Drosophila melanogaster: one gene and its partners. The protein of the gene in region 2 interacts with the protein of the main gene of each other region in a pairwise test. Each region holds a gene or a part of one and is shown on either strand. Other genes may lie near its edges. The genes, in order: Cen, Usp8, CG3713 and CG10510.

The links.
Region 1: the proteins of Usp8 (region 2) and Cen interact in a two-hybrid assay, tested with the Drosophila melanogaster proteins (one large-scale study listed by BioGRID).
Region 3: the proteins of Usp8 (region 2) and CG3713 interact in a two-hybrid assay, tested with the Drosophila melanogaster proteins (one large-scale study listed by BioGRID).
Region 4: the proteins of Usp8 (region 2) and CG10510 interact in a two-hybrid assay, tested with the Drosophila melanogaster proteins (one large-scale study listed by BioGRID).

Annotation. Positions count from the first base shown.
Region 1 is NT_033779.5:20,678,421-20,683,536, forward strand, and holds Cen (centrocortin), read right to left. Parts: upstream 3,427-5,116; 5' UTR 3,199-3,426; exon of another isoform or gene 3,114-3,198; 5' UTR 3,073-3,113; coding exon 700-3,072; 3' UTR 501-699; downstream 1-500. Other genes in the region: IKKepsilon (I-kappaB kinase epsilon), read left to right, coding at 1-351; CG2617 (uncharacterized protein), read left to right, coding at 4,029-4,853.
Region 2 is NT_033777.3:21,132,498-21,138,714, forward strand, and holds Usp8 (ubiquitin specific protease 8), read left to right. Parts: upstream 1-1,764; 5' UTR 1,765-1,913; coding exon 1,914-2,008; intron 2,009-2,071; coding exon 2,072-2,560; intron 2,561-2,619; coding exon 2,620-2,782; intron 2,783-2,837; coding exon 2,838-3,320; intron 3,321-3,375; coding exon 3,376-3,819; intron 3,820-3,984; exon of another isoform or gene 3,985-4,062; coding exon of another isoform or gene 4,063-4,149; intron 4,150-4,217; coding exon 4,218-4,448; intron 4,449-4,511; coding exon 4,512-4,966; intron 4,967-5,022; coding exon 5,023-5,353; 3' UTR 5,354-5,717; downstream 5,718-6,217. Other genes in the region: Ice2 (uncharacterized protein), read left to right, coding at 1-1; Trm7-34 (tRNA methyltransferase 7-34), read right to left, coding at 256-447, 503-1,152, 1,208-1,328.
Region 3 is NC_004354.4:845,660-848,872, reverse strand, and holds CG3713 (uncharacterized protein), read left to right. Parts: upstream 1-1,715; 5' UTR 1,716-1,769; coding exon 1,770-2,021; 3' UTR 2,022-2,702; downstream 2,703-3,213.
Region 4 is NT_037436.4:21,207,576-21,211,938, forward strand, and holds CG10510 (uncharacterized protein), read right to left. Parts: upstream 2,510-4,363; 5' UTR 2,420-2,509; coding exon 2,249-2,419; intron 2,099-2,248; coding exon 1,223-2,098; intron 1,168-1,222; coding exon 643-1,167; 3' UTR 573-642; downstream 1-572. Other genes in the region: CG10512 (uncharacterized protein), read left to right, coding at 1-19; CG10508 (uncharacterized protein), read left to right, coding at 3,156-3,229.

The DNA of each region.
Region 1 (5,116 bases), on a different chromosome or scaffold from region 2:
AACGTAAATCCGACAGTGGCACAAATCGCAGAGTGCCTGGCGGACTGGTATAAGTTGGCTCAGACCGTCTACCTTAAAACTCAAATTTTGGAGAAGGACGTGCGCGATTGCGAAAGAAAGTTGAACGGAATACGCGATGAGTTGTATCACGTTAAGTCGGAGCTGAAGCTGGATGTGGACACAAAGACCATAAACAACAATAATCAGCTGGCCAAGATAGAGGAGCGGAATCGGCTAAGGGTCATGCAGCAGCAGCAACAGGAAGTTATGGCTGTCATGAGAACGAACAGCGATATAATAAGTTTGCTTAGCAAACTGGGCATTACCAACGGAAGTCTGGAAAGTAGTTAGACGGGCATATCATGAAAGTGCAAGAATATTTTATTTGCCTTTACTTTGTAAGTTAACAATAAATGTTTACTTTTTTATATCTGAATTTGTAAAGCAACTACATATATTCCTATTGAAACTTGGCTGAATATCGTGAAAGAGTAAGATTTCTGTAGGTCATTAAATTATTTATTTTATCATGCTGAAATAAAATTAAATTTCCGATTATAGTTATTTAGTTATTGTTATTTAACTGTCTATACATGAAAAAGCGGACTAGACTGCATGGCACACACAATTTAAAAATGGTAGAATGCCCTATGGCTAGAATGCACTGTTTAATTGCTTATTTACATTCTCTAAACAAGTTTACTTTTGACGAAACTGATGATGATGACTCTTGCGAATGTTGGCTCCGTTGTGTTGCTGTCGCTGGGAATGTGATCTTGTGGGTCCATGTTCGCCGGCATCGGCCCGGCGCAAAACTTCGGCGTAGGATAAGTCTAACTTTTTAAGTTTATGTAAGTCTTGCGATACCGTGTTATGATAAAACTCGACGCCATTGAGCTCTATTACTCGGCCCCGAGAAGTTTGGGGAGTATTCATATTCTTGTTATAGATCACCATGGGAGAGCCATTCCAGTTGCTTGAGGATGGAGTTGTCCGTCTGCGGTTACTGCGTCCGAATTCAGCATTCAATGTATCCGTACACATCTTTGAGCTCCCTTGTCCACCACCACGGTTGTTCATGGCCAGAGGACTGTTCCTGGGAGTAAATTCCCGGGAGTTAAACAATTCGATGCGATCTCCAGATGAGCTTTGGTTTCGGTGCTTTCGTCGGTTCTTCTTCTTGATTCCGACACCTACGGTTAGATATTCGAGTGGTTCGCGCTTGAGTGGAGTAAGTATCTGGCCATTCTCCCTTATGGGTTTATAATTCGGTTCGCCGACAGTTGTTTCCTTCGAGGAGCTGTTTAACAAAGTGGATTGCGTTAGGGACGATTGGTTTTGTTGGTTTCGGACATCAAAGATGTGTTTTTTGGCTGTCTTCCGCTCCAGTTTGGTAACGCACTCGGACATTGCAATGGACTGGTTGGATATAACTGAGGATACGACGCTCTGTGTGTCGTCAATGAAGTCATCTGGAGATTCCTCCCTCTCGGGTGTTACCGGGGGTACTTTGGCCGCCACCAAGGGTAATTTTTCTGTAATCTGTGCGTCGTCATGCAGGGACGGAAGCTTGTCTTCTTCGTTATTATCAGCTGCCTTCTTGAGCACTCCAAATATCTCCTTGAAGAGTTCCCTGTACTCCGGGCGATTACGGAAATGAGATTCAATGGGGCTGACGTCGTCATAAATACTGAATTTACAATCGTTTCCATTACTTATTGAGCAAAGGAAGTAACTCGGTCGCTCGTCAGTTTGCGTAGACTTGTTGCTAGTTTCATCCGAGAATCCCGACGATGTAGTTTCTGATTCCGAAAACTCGGTTGGAGTGCGCTTACGTGTTGAATCCAACATAAGGTCAGATTCCTTTGAGCTGTTAACAATTGTTTCTGATTTTTTGCCTTGACTGGACTCGGTCATGGTCTTCCCATCTGGATTGCTGGTGAAGTTGCTCTTGACCGCATTCGAGGTTCTCTTCACCTCCACCAGAGCTTCATATTTCTCGACTAGGTCCCGATAAGGATTTGGTTTGTCGCTAGAGTTGGGATTGAGGTCCTCGGGAATCCGGAAGCGTTCCTTATAATCCGCACCACTATTATCGCATTTCGAGGTGCTTTCGCTTAGTATGCTGCGATCGTCATCTTCGTAGATTTCTTCGGTTGGGGCAATGGAGGATTGATCATCCATATTGGTGTTGCTTTCGTTAATATCCCTCAGGCAGCGACTACACATTTGGCCTTGTCTCACGTCGTCCAGGAGGCTGAACTCCTCGTGCATCGACATTGTTCCCTCATTGGCACTGTTCTCCAGCAGACGTGTCTGCAGACCTTGGTTGTCTTGGATTATGGTCACCAACTGCTCCTCCAGCTCGGTGCACCGCTGCTGTTCGGCCAAGAAGTCACGTTTTAACACCTCCATTTCGCTGAGCAGCTTTACCAATTCCTCGTTGTCTTCACCCTTAACGGCGGTCCTCTCGCACATGGTGGCATTACTGAAGGAGATATCCTCCAATCCTGTCGAGTTCGCTATGGCCATAACATCTAGTTTGGAGAACTCAACACTCTGCTCCTTGCACAGCGATTGAATGCTGTGACTGGACACAGAACCCTCGGTCGAATGCTGCATCCTATAGCGTTCCTGCTGGTACTGATCCACCTTCCGCCGCTCGGTGCTCAGGGATTGCCGAGCATCGCTCAGAAGTTGACTCAGTTCCTCGCAGCGGGCTTCCAGGACTTCCGTGTTGGTGGTCAGCGTCTTAATCTGCTTCTTGTCCCGATTCTTCTCCAGATTTAGCCGCTGATTGGCACGCTCCAGATCCTGAATGCCCACTTCCAGCTGCTCGTAGACCTTAAGCCGTGAATCATTCACCTCGGTCATCGCATTAATGTGCTTGCGCAGATGCAAGATCTCCAGTTCCTGCTCATCCCCCTTAATCTTGTACTCCTTGATGAAGGTTTCCAGCTCCTTATTGCGTTCCAGGAGCGTTTTTCCCAGCTCTGCTGCCAATTGTAGGTCATCGAGCATGAACTGCGATACGTTTTCACAGCCAGCCGAACCGTGATTGGATTCCTCCATCTTGGACTTGGACCTTTCTAAGCTTGGGCTTGATGCGAACTCTGGCGAAAATTTAAAGATTTAATCGATTTTAGTTCATTTAGCAGCAGAGCTTTGTGAGCAAAGCAAAACTCAAACAGTAATTACTTGGCAAATGTCCTCTCAATGGTGGAAAACTGCTACAACAGTAACTTTTTTACTGTTTCATCCCCAAAAACAAAAAGTATGGTATTGCAGCGAGTGCAGAAAAAGCCCTACGTACTAGGGCGCAACTGCATGTACGAATAGTTAATTAATGCTTTTTATTATACACAATCGACCTGCAGACAAAGAACCGAAATGAACTTCCTAGCAGAACCGGAAATAAATTTATAATAGGATTATTCGCATTAGGGGGATTCCTGCTCAGATAGGGCTATGATTTAAGCTCGCCTTTCTTATATAACCCCTCGCGAGTTGTTTGGGGAAACCTTGTTGGATTCTGAAATACCAGCAAAATGCACGGATGTATAATTATATTTTTGAGCTTTCATTGTCTTTGAAAGAAGCATGCAATATCATAATAGATCAGTACATGAATACCCATATTAATTATTACGCATATTTATAGTTGTCAAAATTAATAAATCCAAATTGTTATGTCTCCTTAGTAATTCCTTTGCTCACAGAAGCAAAATATTTGTTTGAACATTATTAATTTAAGTTACCCTAGAATTTGGCGTATTTAAAGTTCAGATACCATCTAAGTTTAAATATATCTAGGAAGTGCAACCGATAATGTGTGGGGTGTTAAAAATAAATATATATATTAATTATACAAATATTTAAGATAAGTAATTATTTGACGCTACCTTATCGCAACGATAGCTTGGCTTTAATTACCAACCACCGCCTGGTCACACTAAGCGGCCGGCGTTCTTGTTTTGATTTTGTGTTTCTTCCTTTTCTTAATTCGAGGACAGTATGAGCCCCCCGCCATGCTGGACGCTCTAATTCGGGCAGCGGAGCTTGTGGATCTGGTCCTGCTGCGTCCGCTGGCCAGCGTGATTGATGCAGTGATTACTGGCGTGTACTACTTCCTGTGGGGCAGCTACCTCGTCGGCTTCTGTTTGGTGGAGGGCAGCAGGAAAGGATGGAATCTGTTGAGATGCGCGGTCAGGAATATCAACGAGGGCATCCGCGACTTGGGCCTCATCACGCTAGATGTGGCGGACTACTTCTACGGCGGCACCAAAGGCGGGCTCAAGAATGTACTCGATTTTGGTCACTGCATATCCCGATTCATCTGCAACTTACTCATCGATCTGGGTGATGGCATCTTGTGGCTGCTGATGCTGCTGCCGAGGGCCATACTATTCCTCTGGGACTGCCTCCTAGACTTTGTGGTGCACTCAATCGTGGCCCATGGCTTGAGCTTGCTGAACAGTGCGTTCCGGGCCTCGATAGGATTGGCCCTGCTCCTCGTTCTCTATATGTTCCGCCGCTATGTGTACCTGATGCTCATCTACCTGCTGCAACGTGGACGCATTGAAATCTCGACGAAGACGCAAAGCGTTTACCTATGGACCCATCATAAATTGCAACACTTCATACACAATGTTTGGTATGTGTCAGAGAACGCAGGATCCGCGAGTCCAGAACGCTGTGTCGTGTGCATGGCTCAAAGCAGGAACGTAGTAGTCATGCCATGCCGGCACCTCTGCCTCTGCAAAGAGTGCTCCCTGCAGCTCGTGCTCCTTTTAGAAGACCGCTGTCCTGTCTGCAGGCACAACATTACGTCGTTCCTGTCAGTTTACGTTTGATATATAAGACTGCCAATTGGAATTTAACTTATAAGTAATTATGATTCTCAGAAGTTAACCAAATGTCTTTGGTTAAGACACTTGTAATAGAAAAAACAAATAATCTTTACAAAGCAGAACAGACAAAACATTTTAATGCAGCTTTCAATTCCCAGACACCTAAAATATCAAGTAAAACAAGTTAAATTGTTTTATGTATTTATTTCAAACCAATGAAAATATACGATTTGTTTTGTATACATTTATGTAAATACGGTTTGGTT
Region 2 (6,217 bases):
AAAACCGCACTCTGATTGCATAAGTTGATTACTATTAGGGATGTAGTTACTAACTGTTACAAAACCAAAAGGTGATCCCCATAGTGGAGTTAACCGCTCGGCGTAAGGATAAGAGTTAAGTTTATATTGTTATGTATCGGAATAATAAAAATTGAACGCGGTGCTTGTGGCGCGAGCAACAAAGTTTTGATACATTTTGAGATGCACCAGAATTTACACTCATATTCATAACTTTTCATTTTTTAAAGCTTTTATTTACGTTACACAGGCACCTAACTTCTCAGACTTATTCTCATCATTCTCTAGCCATTTCTTCAACATTTCCTCATCGTGAATAACGCGAATGCCTTCATATTTTATGTTCACTTGGCTCGTTTTCTGCAGAATGTCCTGATAGGCGGCCGTCAAGGGTTGCTGCACTGGCTCTTTATACACATAGTTCTCGCCCTAAAACAAAACATTTTAGTGGTTTAAACCAAACGAAGATATAGTATTAACATACCAAATCGTATGTGCGATCCGAGTCCAACTCGCCCTTGTAGGCAACAAAGGGAACTTGAACCACGGGCGGGCTCTCCTTCTTTCTGCCCACCCACGACTCGGGTTGATCGTGCCATTCGGTCGTCAGGTTGCAAGGCTTGTAGCCATCGGGCAGACAAAACTCTCGGGCCACCACGAAGGCTTCAATGCTGGAGTTGCGCGAGGCGGAGGGCTTGAACACGCATACGTTCTTAAAGAACCGCTTGAGCTGAGTGTACAACCGACTGGTCCTGTCTGCCCGGTAGATCTTGGACACGAAGGAGCCTCCCTCTTCCAGTATGAAGGTGGATATGCTGAGGGCGGAGAGAAGTAGTTCGCCCTGAACGTACGAGTCAAAGTCGTGCATTCCAGTAGAATCGGGAGCGCCATCGCTAACAACAATCTGTGCCTTCTCGCCGCCAAAGAACTCAATTATGGCCTCGGCTGTCGACTCCTTGCTGATGTCCGCCCGCAGTTGTTTGACTCCTTCGATCGGAGCCATTCCCTGCAGGTCTACGGCGATGATCTTTACCTTTTCCCGTTCCTCTGGCGGCAGAGGCTCGTACAAGCGTTTGGCCAGCACCTGTGACCAGCTGCCAGGAGCGGCGCAAAGGTCCACGGCTCGGGTGAGACCTGAAATAAGTGGACAATTAGAATCGCTCCGAAAAACACGCGGTTGGATCTGCACCTTCTAGCAACTGAAAGGTCTCATCCGCCTGGAGCAGTTTGAAAGCACTTCGTGCACGCCATCCCTGCTCCTTGGCCAGGCGGTAGAATATGTCTCGTTTATCCTTCGAAGTCCTGCCCATTTAAAAATAATAAAAACAAAAGGGTATCAGCTGTGATACGACATCTACAGTGCTGTCGTTTTAGCCGTTTTCCCTTCAACTTTGGGAGTTTATTGGTATTAAAAACATTAAAAAGTTTGCAAGTGTGAGCTCGAATTTATAGTTTTAAAATATATATCATTCATTTTGTGTTAAAATATAATTTTATATTTAAATGGTAGATTAGGAAAAAGAATCAATTTTGTTTCCAAATCCATAGAAATAGCTACAAAATGTAGTTTAGCTTTAATCTTCATAATATTGAGTTACATATTCATTATATTTGAATTTGTTTATTTGAAATAAAACACGTACAGCTAAAATACATATCTAGTTGGATTTTCAATATTAATAGCTAAATGGCTAAATTTGCACAATCTAAATTTGCACTTCTGACAGCGCCATCCTATTTCTTTGTTATCGATAAATTTCATGCAAAATAACAAATGATTGTGTTGTTGCAGCCCAGCCCGCAGATTGAGAAATTCCTGCTATGAGAACAGGAAAATCGGCGAGATCCCGATTCCCAAATTCAACGTAGCCCGCCCCGACAACAAAAAACGAATAATGGCCAAGTTGAAGAAACTGCATATGAGCTCCAACCTTGATGACCTGGAGAAGATGTCCATCATTCCGGATCTGCGCAGCAAGGGCATGAAAATGTAAGTGGACACCGCGATTTGGTGCTGATGCGGCTGTTTTGATTTACCTGGCATTCTTCGCAGCCTACTGAACACCGCCCGCAAACTGTACATGACCGCCGAGGAGTACAGACTGGATGGCGACGAGGAACTGGCCTACATCACCTACATGAAGTACTTCAATATGCTGACCGCAATTCACAAAAAATCCGATTACCCCAGCCACAAGACGACGGTGCGCCAGATGCTGGGCGACACCGAGTCGAATCGCCGCATTATGGACACGCTGGAGGAGATTATCAACTCTCTGCGGCATCGTTATGCTCAGCAGCACCAAGCGCCGGAACCAATTGCTCCCGACCTGGTTAGCAATGGGCGTGCGGGTGTGGACTCGCCGATAACACAGCCAACGCAGTACGCCCGACTTGGGCTGATAACCTGTCAGGATCTGTATCGGCGCATGCAGGAGAAATCGGTCCTAGTTATGGACTGTCGCCCAAGCGCCGACTACGAGGCCTCCCACCTCACGTACTACTGTGCATTTAATGTGCCCGAGGAGTTGATAACGCCAGGGTGAGTTGTCCATTATAATAATCTCGCTATTTGGATACTAACTTATTGGATTTACACAGAATGTCGGCTGGCAGATTGCAGGCTCGTCTTAGCAGCAGCGCCAAGGCGTCGTGGGCATCGCGTTCCGTCAAGGATTCGGTGGTTCTTATGGACTGGAACACCAAAGATGCCCAACCGGCGACCAACACAGCCATTTCAACCCTTCTGGACATCCTGAAGAACGTGAGTATGGGTGGTATTTAGCCATAGATTACATATAATCATTATTTTCTGGTAGTGGGATCCGGATGTGACGTATCGCGCACCCATTCAAATTGTCGAGGGCGGTTATGAGTACTTCATTATGATGTACCCGACCCATTGCACTAATCCCAGTGTGCAGGCGCCGCAGCAGAACAACAACGACATTGAGACCATCGATGATATCGAGTATCCCTCAATCCACGACATCACCATGAAGGAGGATATTAGTGCGAAGGACTTCAGACCGCGTCCAGACTTCAATCGGGCCAACAAGCCAGCGGCCACTCGCGTTAATGAACAGGGAATTTCCCGTCCTTCTCCGCCGGCTAAGCCCATTGCTGAGATCATGCGTGATCAGGCCGAGTTTTTGCAGCGCGCAGAGCAGAACGATGAGCAGTTGGAGAAGGCCTCAAAAATGTGGAAGCGTCAAGCAGCAGAGGGCGATGGTTTGAATGCTACCGAGGACCAGGAGTTGCACTTCAGGATCCTACAGTTGGAGAGCAAGGCCCAGGACTATGTAAGATCTATAAATTACCTTATAAGGTTCGATTAATTGTTCGTTTGTGTCGTAGATCGTGGAAAACAATCGTCTGCGAGAAGAACTAAGTCGCATACAAGAGCTACACAATGTTACGCAGCAGTTGTCGCAAAAGGAGGTCGAGGCAACGAGGAATATAGAATCCAAGATCCGCGAACGACAGCGCTTGGACGAGCAGCATGAACTTGAACGTCAAGAGCGGGAGCGCCTTTTGGCGATCGCTCGCGAGACAAAAAAGCATTACAAGTCACCAACACCTTCGGGCCCGCCTTCGCCGGGCAGGAACTTGGAGGACGTACATGTCGTGTCAGACAGCCTGGAATCCCTGCTCCAGTTGACTGGCGATCCGGATCCGACAATTGCGCCAAACAAGGCGGAAATACCAACATTCGATCGGGCGATGAAACCGCAGCCGAGGAATGTGGAGAGGACATCGCAACGCGTTCGTGATTTCTCGCCTGTCATTGGTCAGAATGTGGTAAGTATTGCTTGGGTAGTGGTGGTTGACTCACTGGCCACATAAATATAGCCGCGACACGAGTCAAATCAATAGCCAGCGGGTCACGTTTTGAAGACACCCGCCCAGACGTGCGCCGTTCTTGGTGCGCTTTCTACCCCCACTCTCAGTCGCTCGACGTCCGCACTCAAAGCATGTTCAAACCAAAGAAACGTACAATTGCCATACTGTTAAGCAGGAATAGCATTATACAGGATTCCGCGAATGATTTGTGTAGCGGGCGTGAGGCTCCAGCTGCCAACAGCTCCGCCCACCTACAGCATTTATAGCTCCATCTTTCCGCTGAGACGAGTAATAGCTATAGATTTTATTTTCCTCTATCTCCGAATAGTTAACTATATCCTTGGATAACATTTCAGGGTCGTGGACTGACTGGACTGAAGAATCTGGGCAACACCTGCTATATGAACAGCATACTGCAGTGCCTGAGCAACACGCCTCAGTTGACCGAGTACTGCATTTCGGACAAATACAAGAATTACATCAGCAGAAGCAACAAGACTAATGGCCAGGTGATCGAAGAGGTGGCTGCACTCATCAAGGAGCTCTGGAATGGACAGTACAAGTGTGTGGCCAGCCGAGATTTGAGGGTATGCAACTGAAAAAAAAAAAACACCCAAATTTCTTTCTAAACTAAACATACTTCATTGCAGTACGTTGTGGGCCAGTACCAGAAGATCTTCCGCGGCGTTGACCAGCAGGACTCACACGAATTCCTCACCATCCTGATGGACTGGCTGCACTCGGATCTCCAGACCCTACATGTGCCCCGTCAGCGGGAGATGATCAGTGCGTCGGAAAAGGCTTGGCTGGAATTTACCAAGGCGAAGGAGAGCATGATTCTGCATTTATTCTATGGCCAAATGAAGAGCACTGTGAAATGTGTGGCCTGCCACAAGGAGTCCGCCACGTACGAGAGTTTTTCTAATCTCAGCCTGGAGCTGCCGCCAAACTCGAATGTATGTCAGCTGAACCAGTGCATGGACATGTACTTCAGTGGAGAAAGGATCCATGGCTGGAATTGTCCTAGTTGTAAAACGAAAAGAGATGCCATCAAGAAGCTGGATATATCGAAGCTGCCACCTGTGCTGGTGGTGCATCTTAAGCGGTAAGTGATGCTAACACTATGCTATGCTTGTTTATAATTTCTTAAATCCCGCATAGCTTCTATGCGGATCCCAGTAACTCTGGCTCGTACATGAAGAAGCAGAACTACTTGCGCTTCCCGCTCGAGAACTTGGACATGAATCCCTACATAGCACGGGCGGAATCGCGGGCGGTAACACCTAAGACCTACCAGCTGTACGCCGTATCCAATCACTACGGCACCATGGAAGGCGGGCACTACACGGCATTTTGCAAGAGCGCCAACTACGGAAAATGGTTCAAGTTCGACGATCAGGTCGTCTCGGCGTTGGACTCCTCTAACGTGGTTTCTAGCGCTGCATACATTCTTTTCTACACCTGGCTGCCACCCATGCAGGTGCCTCTGTAGACGCTTCGCTCGGTTTCCTTTCGGTTTTTACCCCTTTCGTTTTAATTGTTTTTTGTTTTTCTCTCATATTATAGCTTTTAAGGTCTAGTCGCCACACCCTTTTATCATTTACAAATTACCGCTTAACTGTTAACTGCTATTTAAGAGGATAATCGCTTGTTTGTTGTTGTCTAGGCTCTTAGAACAGTATTACGCGTGGGCGTATTTTCAATGGGTGCAGGCTGCATTCACTAAAACCAAGAACTTCAAGTGCATTACCAGTGTAACAAAGAGAAGCCCGCATATACGCCTGTGTATGCGGGACTATAGTTTATTGTATTTTGCAAATATATTTTAAAACCAAATAAACGAAATTCAATTTCTGATACAAAGAATTTCTTTGAAAGAATCATGCGTAGGGTTTTTAGAAAACAAATTGGGGAGAGCGGGTATTTTACACTCAACAAATAATATAAAAAAGGGGGTGAAAGTTATTTTACCATTGCAAAGAAAAATTCAGCTAATTTTCGCGCCGAAAAGTTCAATTCGAGATATCCGATAAGTAAATATATTCACTTCCAACTAACGGTCACACTGTAAAACGCCCCCGCTCTTTAGCAAATGCAGTGTTGCCAACTCTTGCTTTCAATAAATAGCTAGTTAGTTGATTTATCAATTATTACATTTATAGTGTTTTATGTATGCCCTATTTTTCATTTATAAAGAGTTATGATTTAAACTTATTAAATAAGATGATGAAATTGATGATTCAAAAGAAGAACATAGCTATAACAGTGCACCTAAAAAATGGCCAAAAATACAGGTGCTTGCAATCACTTAATCTAATCTGGCTAGTAGCCAGCTAAAGCGGCAGCACCGACCACG
Region 3 (3,213 bases), on a different chromosome or scaffold from region 2:
GAACTCGACTCCAGCGTTCTCTGTTGGAAAATGGGCCTTTTGCTAAGACATTAAGCATACGCAGAGTAACAAAAACATGTAGTCCTTGCTGGACCTGATTTTTCTCACTGCATGCATGTGGGGGATAGGTTAAAGAGAAAATGGAAATTGCGGGAATGGGAATGGTGAATGGTGAATGGGAGAGGGGAAACGCGCAGTGCAGTGCCGTGGGGCAAACTCAATGCCGGCCCAGGCCTCCCATGTGTGTTTGTGGCAAGTTAATGACACACCTTAACCCATGTTAACCTAGTTTTTCATGTTGTGGTTATTCTTGTCGTGCTTGTTCTTCTTTCCACTTGACCCAAAGCCCAAAAAAAAAAAAGGAGAGTGGTGTGGAGAGGATGTCGGTGCGTATGGGCCTGGCCTTCATGCGGTTGACATGAATTTGACTGTGGCATGATTGGCCTACTTTCTGTCTTTTGCTTGCGCTCTAGGCTTTTTCGCATAAATAAGCTATTTGTGACCAATTTGCATTTTCCGCGTTATATTTCTTAACTGACACAATAAAAAGTTCGAAAGGCGAATGACGGCAGAATAGGAAGAGCTATAGCAAAATCCAACATATAAACAAACAATGCCCAAAGGGCAGCATAGATCTAGGGTAAGATCAGCATAAGAAAAAAATGGAAAAATGGACCGAGTGCGTTTAATTAGTCACATTCCGACATCATAATACCTTTAATAAAGCAACCAACTTAATATTAACAAATGGGGACCATAAAGTGTGAAATGTGGAGCGGGAGTCCTCAAAGGACCTGCGGATGGCAAGCAATGGCCTTCATTTATTTTCCTCAGCCGCAGCTGCTGCTTCTTTCTCAGCTTGTTAAGCATAATTAAAATCACAGAGCGGGATGGAGAGAGGCGCAGAGAGCCAGGGAGGAGAGGGACAGAGCTAGTGAGTAAGTGTGATTAAAAGATTGCAAATTTCTCACTCTTATTCATTTTTTTTAAGCTCTTCTTTCTGGCCAAATTGAATTTTTCGTTGCAGCAGACAGCGAGTGAGTGAGTAGGACAGAGCAGAAATGCATTGAACTGATCAGGGTAGTAACAGCACCATGTAGAATCGAAACTTTATTCACGTTAAATCCCCAATTATGTTGGTCTAAATAATGCTTGGTATTAAATAGTAGTATTCCCTGCAGAGGGCTCAAAAGTGTTTTTTTTTTTTGTTTTTGTGGAACGGAAGCCACCTCGCAATTCGACTTTAATGAGTAAACAGGGCGTGCAGACGCTATGCAAATGCTTTAGTCCCATTGAATTTGATGGCCGCGCATAAATGTAATTATAATGTGCATTCTATACAGCAACAAACATAAATGCATAAGTGCATAAATGCGCGCGCGTGTGTGTGTGGACAGTGGATTACGTAATGCCGATGCAGTGAATACGATATAATGTGCTATGCATAATGCATGATCGCACTCCTTAATCAACGCCAAACAAGCGACATTTAATTTTAATTTTAATTAATTTTGTCATTTGCTTTTTACACCGATGACGATGGATTTACCGGAAAACGAGCGAGTCTGTAATCCATCCATTTTCGAATTCTGCTGTGGACGCAGCTGTGCTGTGGATTGTGGGGCGTGGGGCTTGGAGCGCGGATTTGTGAACGCGTGGATGCCTGGGGCTGTAGAAGTAGTAGGGTAGTATAGTAGTAGGTGGGCCTCCGATATCGTCAGTGCTGCGAAATCAGCTGTCGGGCGAGCACCGCATAATCAGAGGTGGGGATGTTTCTGGGCTTCTTGGTGGATCTGCTGTACTGCCGACGCTGCGGGGACGACTGTATGATGGAATTCCCATCGACTTCCGCGAATGAAGAAGCAGCGCCGAAAGTGGTAAAGGTCGAACTGCCGCCGCTGCCGCCACTGACCTTTGAACTCATCCGCAATCCATTGGCTGCCGACCAGGAGTGCGATGATAGCTTCGAAGGCTTCGTCGATGGTTATGATGATCCCAGGCTGCCGGAAACCATCATCTGATTCAAAAAAAGCTTGCCACTCACTGGCATTCCGCACTCCGCTTCATTTGGTTTAATTAAAACTCTTTTTGCCATAATCCAATTAAGACCAAAGGCAAAAACCAAATGACAACAAATGGCATAATGGCCAGACAACAAAACAGACGGCAAAAAATAGAAAAACTCGACAAACTCAAACAAAGCTCCGCACAAAGCAAAAAAAAAAAAACTGAACAAAACAAAATGCAAACAAACAATGCAATAAAATTCAATTACAACAAAATTTTAATTAACTTTTTGCAATCAAAACACAAACCAAATGAGGAGACAACTGGCATCCGAATTGAAAGCCAATAAAAATGGGCGTAATAACCTAACCAATCTACAGGTCATCGATGGACAGGAGAGGGTTAAACGAATCTGACAAAGGCTGTGTACGTTAGCTTCAAATGGGATAGGATTACTTGAGTGTATCATGTTATGTGTGCAAAAGTTTAAAAATGTATATGCACGCACATATGGTAAATGTTTGGATTCGATTGGGAGCACCAAAGAACCAGGCACAGTTTTCCAAACAATAGAAACTACTCGTAGTCGTGTGCCAACTATCGGATACCTTATAGTCTGTATTAAAGTTTGTTATTGACTTATTTACTCTACGAGTACTGATGGAAATGAGTATAAATATGAAAATATTGTTTGTAAACTGTTAAAATGTTTTATTTCGTTTTGTGGGGCGGTAGGTCGCATTACGTATACGACGCGCAGACCACAGAGTAATACGTTTCTAAAGCAAGTTTGCAGTTGCACTGTTTCATTGTTGACCTATCAATTGGGCTCTTCTTCCGGTCGTAGCATACAGTCAGTGTGAACTCGTTTCTTCCAAAGCAATTCCGAGTCGGATAAGACACAGCTACTGCAGCCCATCAAGATCTGCTTCCATGCTCCTTGCAGCATTGTCCACCCACCCTTTAAGACCTCCTATATATTCACATCTGTATCGCAATCGCGAGAAAGACAACTTTTAGTGCGACATTCGCTGGAAACTTTCAGCAGAGCGGCAAACGACACCTAAACCGACTAATGGGCAAAGTCACCTCCTTTGGCAGTAGTGGCTTCGGGGGTTTACTTCACCCATTGTGAGCCATTTGTTTGCTGGAATTGCATTCGTGGCTGCGAAATAACATTTTCCGTTTCCGTTCTTGTTGCGACTG
Region 4 (4,363 bases), on a different chromosome or scaffold from region 2:
GCCCCTGAGCTTTGTTTAAACTCGAAAGAACTGGTGGACTTACACTAGGGAGTCAAGCATACCCATTGCCATATGTTGAAGACGCCTCTGCATTTTGATGGACCAAAGCACTACAGTAACACTTTACACTGAGAGAAATATTGATATTTGCAACAGTTAGATTAGATTGCACTGGTGCTGAACTAAAGCTAGTTACATATCTCCATGTTGCACTTAAAACATATTTCTAGTCTCCTAAGAGTCTGTCGTTGCTCCTATTATTTAGTTTTTAACTACGCAAGCTTTCTTATTAACTAAAAACATGAGCTTCGGCATTCTTTTAGGGAATTAGCAATATTTAGTAGAGTAAAGACTTGCAGTTTGCAAAATAATATACATAAGTAGAAGTACAGCTAAATTTCTGTTTAAAACAAAAACTATCTGTTTTAAAATATATTGATTTTGGCACTTTGAGATACCCATGCTGTGTTCAGCAATTTCAAAACTATTAAAATAAACAATATACTCTTCGATAATCAAATATTTGTCTTTATAGCATTTTTTCTTGCGATTGCAAACAAGGTAAATATATTAATTTAACTATTATTCAATTTAATTGAGCTCATTTTTATATTTAAACATAACTTTGAATGCCACATATTTTCAAAAGTCCAGAATCACCTCATTCAAAGTGGCTTCGGCCTCCCACTTGGCCTCCTTGTGTGCCGTCGGTGAATGCACGACCTTTCTGGACTTGAATTCCTGGCACTTTGTCTCGAAAAGTTTGGGTGGCATGGGTTGAGTTGGCGATGAAACATGCATGGCGGTTCGCAGCTCTTCCGGATCCTCGGTGACACTCATGGATTTGATAAAGTCGATCAGGCGCTGATTGTCCTCAGTGAGGCGACGCTTCTCCTCCAGCATCAGCAGGTTTTGAGCTTCGGCCATCGCCTGGCGGCGCCAGAAGTTCCTGAGACTTTTGTTTAGCTCCACGAGTTCCTCCTCGGTCATGTCCACGTGATCTTTCAGGTTGAGAGTCTGCAGCTTGAAGTATTCATCGACATCCACCTCGGTTTCGTCGAATACCTCGCCGCCGAGGATTACCTTTTCCGATTCGGTTTGCAGTTTCCTGCAAGTGATCGACAGGGCCAAGAGTAATTCCCCACTTTTCACGTGCTTCTCCATTTGCTGGAATAATATTTCAATTTAGAAATGGGTAATAGGGCTTGGGACAAAGGTTCACCTTGGTCAACTCGTAGCACTCGCCGGTCAGGATGCGCAACTTCTCGTGCGTGATCTCGCGATCCATCTCCTGGTTGAGCTCAATCTTCTTGCGCACGTTGGTGAAGTACTGGAACTCCAGGCGAAGATCGTTGAGCGTGGAGTTGTTCTCCGCATCCATGCGAACCATTTCGCGCTGCAGTTCCGCCTGCATGTTGATGTACTTGGACTCCTCGGCGTTTAGCTTGCGTGACTCCTCCATGAAAGCCGCCTGCCGCTCCGTCAGCCAGTGGATCTTCTCGTACTTGTGGGCATCCAGTTCGGTGCTCCTCAGCGACTCCACGAAGTCGTTCAGTTGCTGCTGCATGTGCGTCATCCGGCGGACAATCTGATCTCGAATCTTAAATCTGTTCTCAATCTCCGTATTCACGCGATCGTCGCGCTGCTCCAGGTAGATAGTGTAATCCTCCTTCAGCTGATCCCGGGTGGTGATGTTGGTGGCATGGATTATGTTCTCGGAGTTCGTTTTCATGGCTTCCACCTCTTCGGTGCGCCGGCGCACCTCTTCATAGTAATCCCTCAGCATCTCGTCAGCCTGCTGGTCATACATGCTCTTCACCCCGCCCAACATCACGTGGAAGCAGTCGCGAATGTGATCAATCAGCTCCACCGTTTTGCTGTAGCAACGCACGTGCTGATCCTGCGTCTGCGCCATGTCGTCCAGAAGCATCTTGATGTGGTCGTTCTTGGCCTGAATGTTACGTTCCGAGCGCTCGCCCCAAGCCCTCATCTCCTCGTTTAGCTCCTTGATCTTGATTTCGCGGCACATCTCGTGCCACTCCTCGTTGCCTTTCTCCTCCATATGCTTGCCCATCTCCAGCTCGCGCATCAGGGCATCCTGAGAGGATCATGGCGCAACATTAGAAATGATGCGTTTACAATTTTAATATAGTCTTAATATATTATTTTTATTATAAAAATTAATAATATTAAGGATTTGCTTAGGTTCATCCTTAATAAAAACTCTGCGAAAGTTAGTTGAACCCACCCGCATGATGAGCCGCTTCTCCTCGATCATAGCCAGTCGCTTGGCCTCTTTCTTGGCGGCCTTCTTCTGAGCCTTGGTTAGTTTGGGCGGTCCTTGTGGCTCCGGCTCCTCCTCCAGTTCTTGGAGGTAGTTTTCCGAAACACGCGTCAAGCGTGCCAAGATTTCGGCCATTTTGCCGATGTGTAGTTGTAGCTGAACTAAATGCGTAAATCAAAGGTGAAATTTTTGGAAAATTGACGGGGGAGCTAAATTCGAATTGTGTGCCTGTTTGAAAGCTGAATCGAAGTTTGGCGCACAGCTTTCGACGGGCAAATTCCAACACTGGATACCAGCTTTTTTAACGACTATTCGCACAGCATCTGAAGCTTTAACGCCCGCCACTGATTTCCTCAGTTGACTCTCAAAGCTTGGCTCGCGAGGTTGTTTATAGCGTCGCGACTCCAGGATTCCCCAAAAACGATTCCTTTCCGGGTAGCTAAAGCCTGGCTGGCTTGCTTACTAACGGCACGCCACATCGAACTGTGTGTGTGTGAGCGTGTGTATCTGTGTGTTGCGGTCCTTTTTCCCGGCAGGCAGTGCCTTGTAAACAAAAATAACTCTGCTGCCGAGGAGAGGTTGCCATCGAGGGTGGTTACAACCCCCAAATCTGAAACATCCGACGACAAAGGCAACTACAAAGCTCCGCGCAGGATAAGTGGCAAGGGCACTCCTGCCTGCCAACTTTTCGGGGTTGCAGACAGTCGGCAAACAAGCTGCGAATGCGACTTTAAACGTCCATAAACATTCAGGCAGAAAACGAAAATAATAAAACGACGGTCGTTCGGTTTAACTGGGCATCGAAGCGCCTCGCATCTGCAAGTGCAATTGTTACTGTATCTGCATCTGTATCTATTCGTGAGCGGTGAAAATGAGCGAATCCGGTGGCTATCAGAAAATGCCGCCCGGCTGGGACTGCAAATACGATCAAGCAACTGGAAATTGGTGAGTTGCATGTGCACAGCCCGACGTCATAAATATTTATGCATCCATTAACCACAATGTCGTGAAATGCGGACTGTACTGGGAGATGTGGTGGCCAGTTGTGGGATATAGGGGTTCCATTTGATAGGTTGCCACGGGGGCAACTGATAAATTTGCGTGCCAACGTCGCTTGGGGTGGCTCTTTCGGTGGGCGAAGGATTATGGTTGGGTGTGTGGTTGTGGGTGTATGTAGGGGGCCTTGGGGGCGTAAGTCGCTTACTTTAAAATGATTGGGTGGTAGGCGTCCGGTTGAGGTGGTGTTTGCCATGTTTGGCCTTATAGTGATAAGGAAATTATTCGTTAGTTCGGTGGCTTGCAGAACTTAGTTTTGAAACACCTTTGGTATTTAAACTCTTAGGACGCAAGCTCGGTACTAATTTAAATTATTCATTTAACACACAATGGAACGAAGTACAAGCTTGGATTGGATATTGGCTAACTTTTCTTCAGCTTATAATCGAAAGAACTTTCTAACATAAAATTTTCAAAATGTTTTATGTTTGAAGAAAATGTTTTAATTTAAATTTAAATTATTATTACTGATACGCAAAACAATTTTACTGAACTCTAAAGACCCAGCGTGTGGGTACCATGTGGTTCCCTATGGGCTACTTAGCTTAGTGCTCCTTAGCCACTCCAATTGGCCTCGTTTCAGCGGCATAAATTGTGTCACTTCCGCGTCGTCGGATGCCAGCGGGGTCTTTAACATCTCCTTAGCCTATCATACATATATACATATAACTTAACCCCTTATGCTTAAAAAGCCATGTGCAATTAAGCAACATACGTTGTCATACGTTAATTCAAGAGGCCACTCAACCGAAGACGAGCTTTCCATCCTCACGACGTCCTCGTCGACATCCACCCTCTCCATTCCGAAAATCAGAGCAGAGATGGCCTGTCAAACGACGATGAAAATGACGACTGTGCGTCCGCCTTTTGGCAGCTACTTGGCACGTGCCTTGGTTTAGGCGGTTCCTTCACCCTTTACCTGTCCGTCCTCCCAAGGGACCATCAACATGTGGGGAGAATCCCAAACCAATCCACTCCAATCCAGTCCACCACCAACCGGCCGGCTTTAGGATGTGCCTCCAC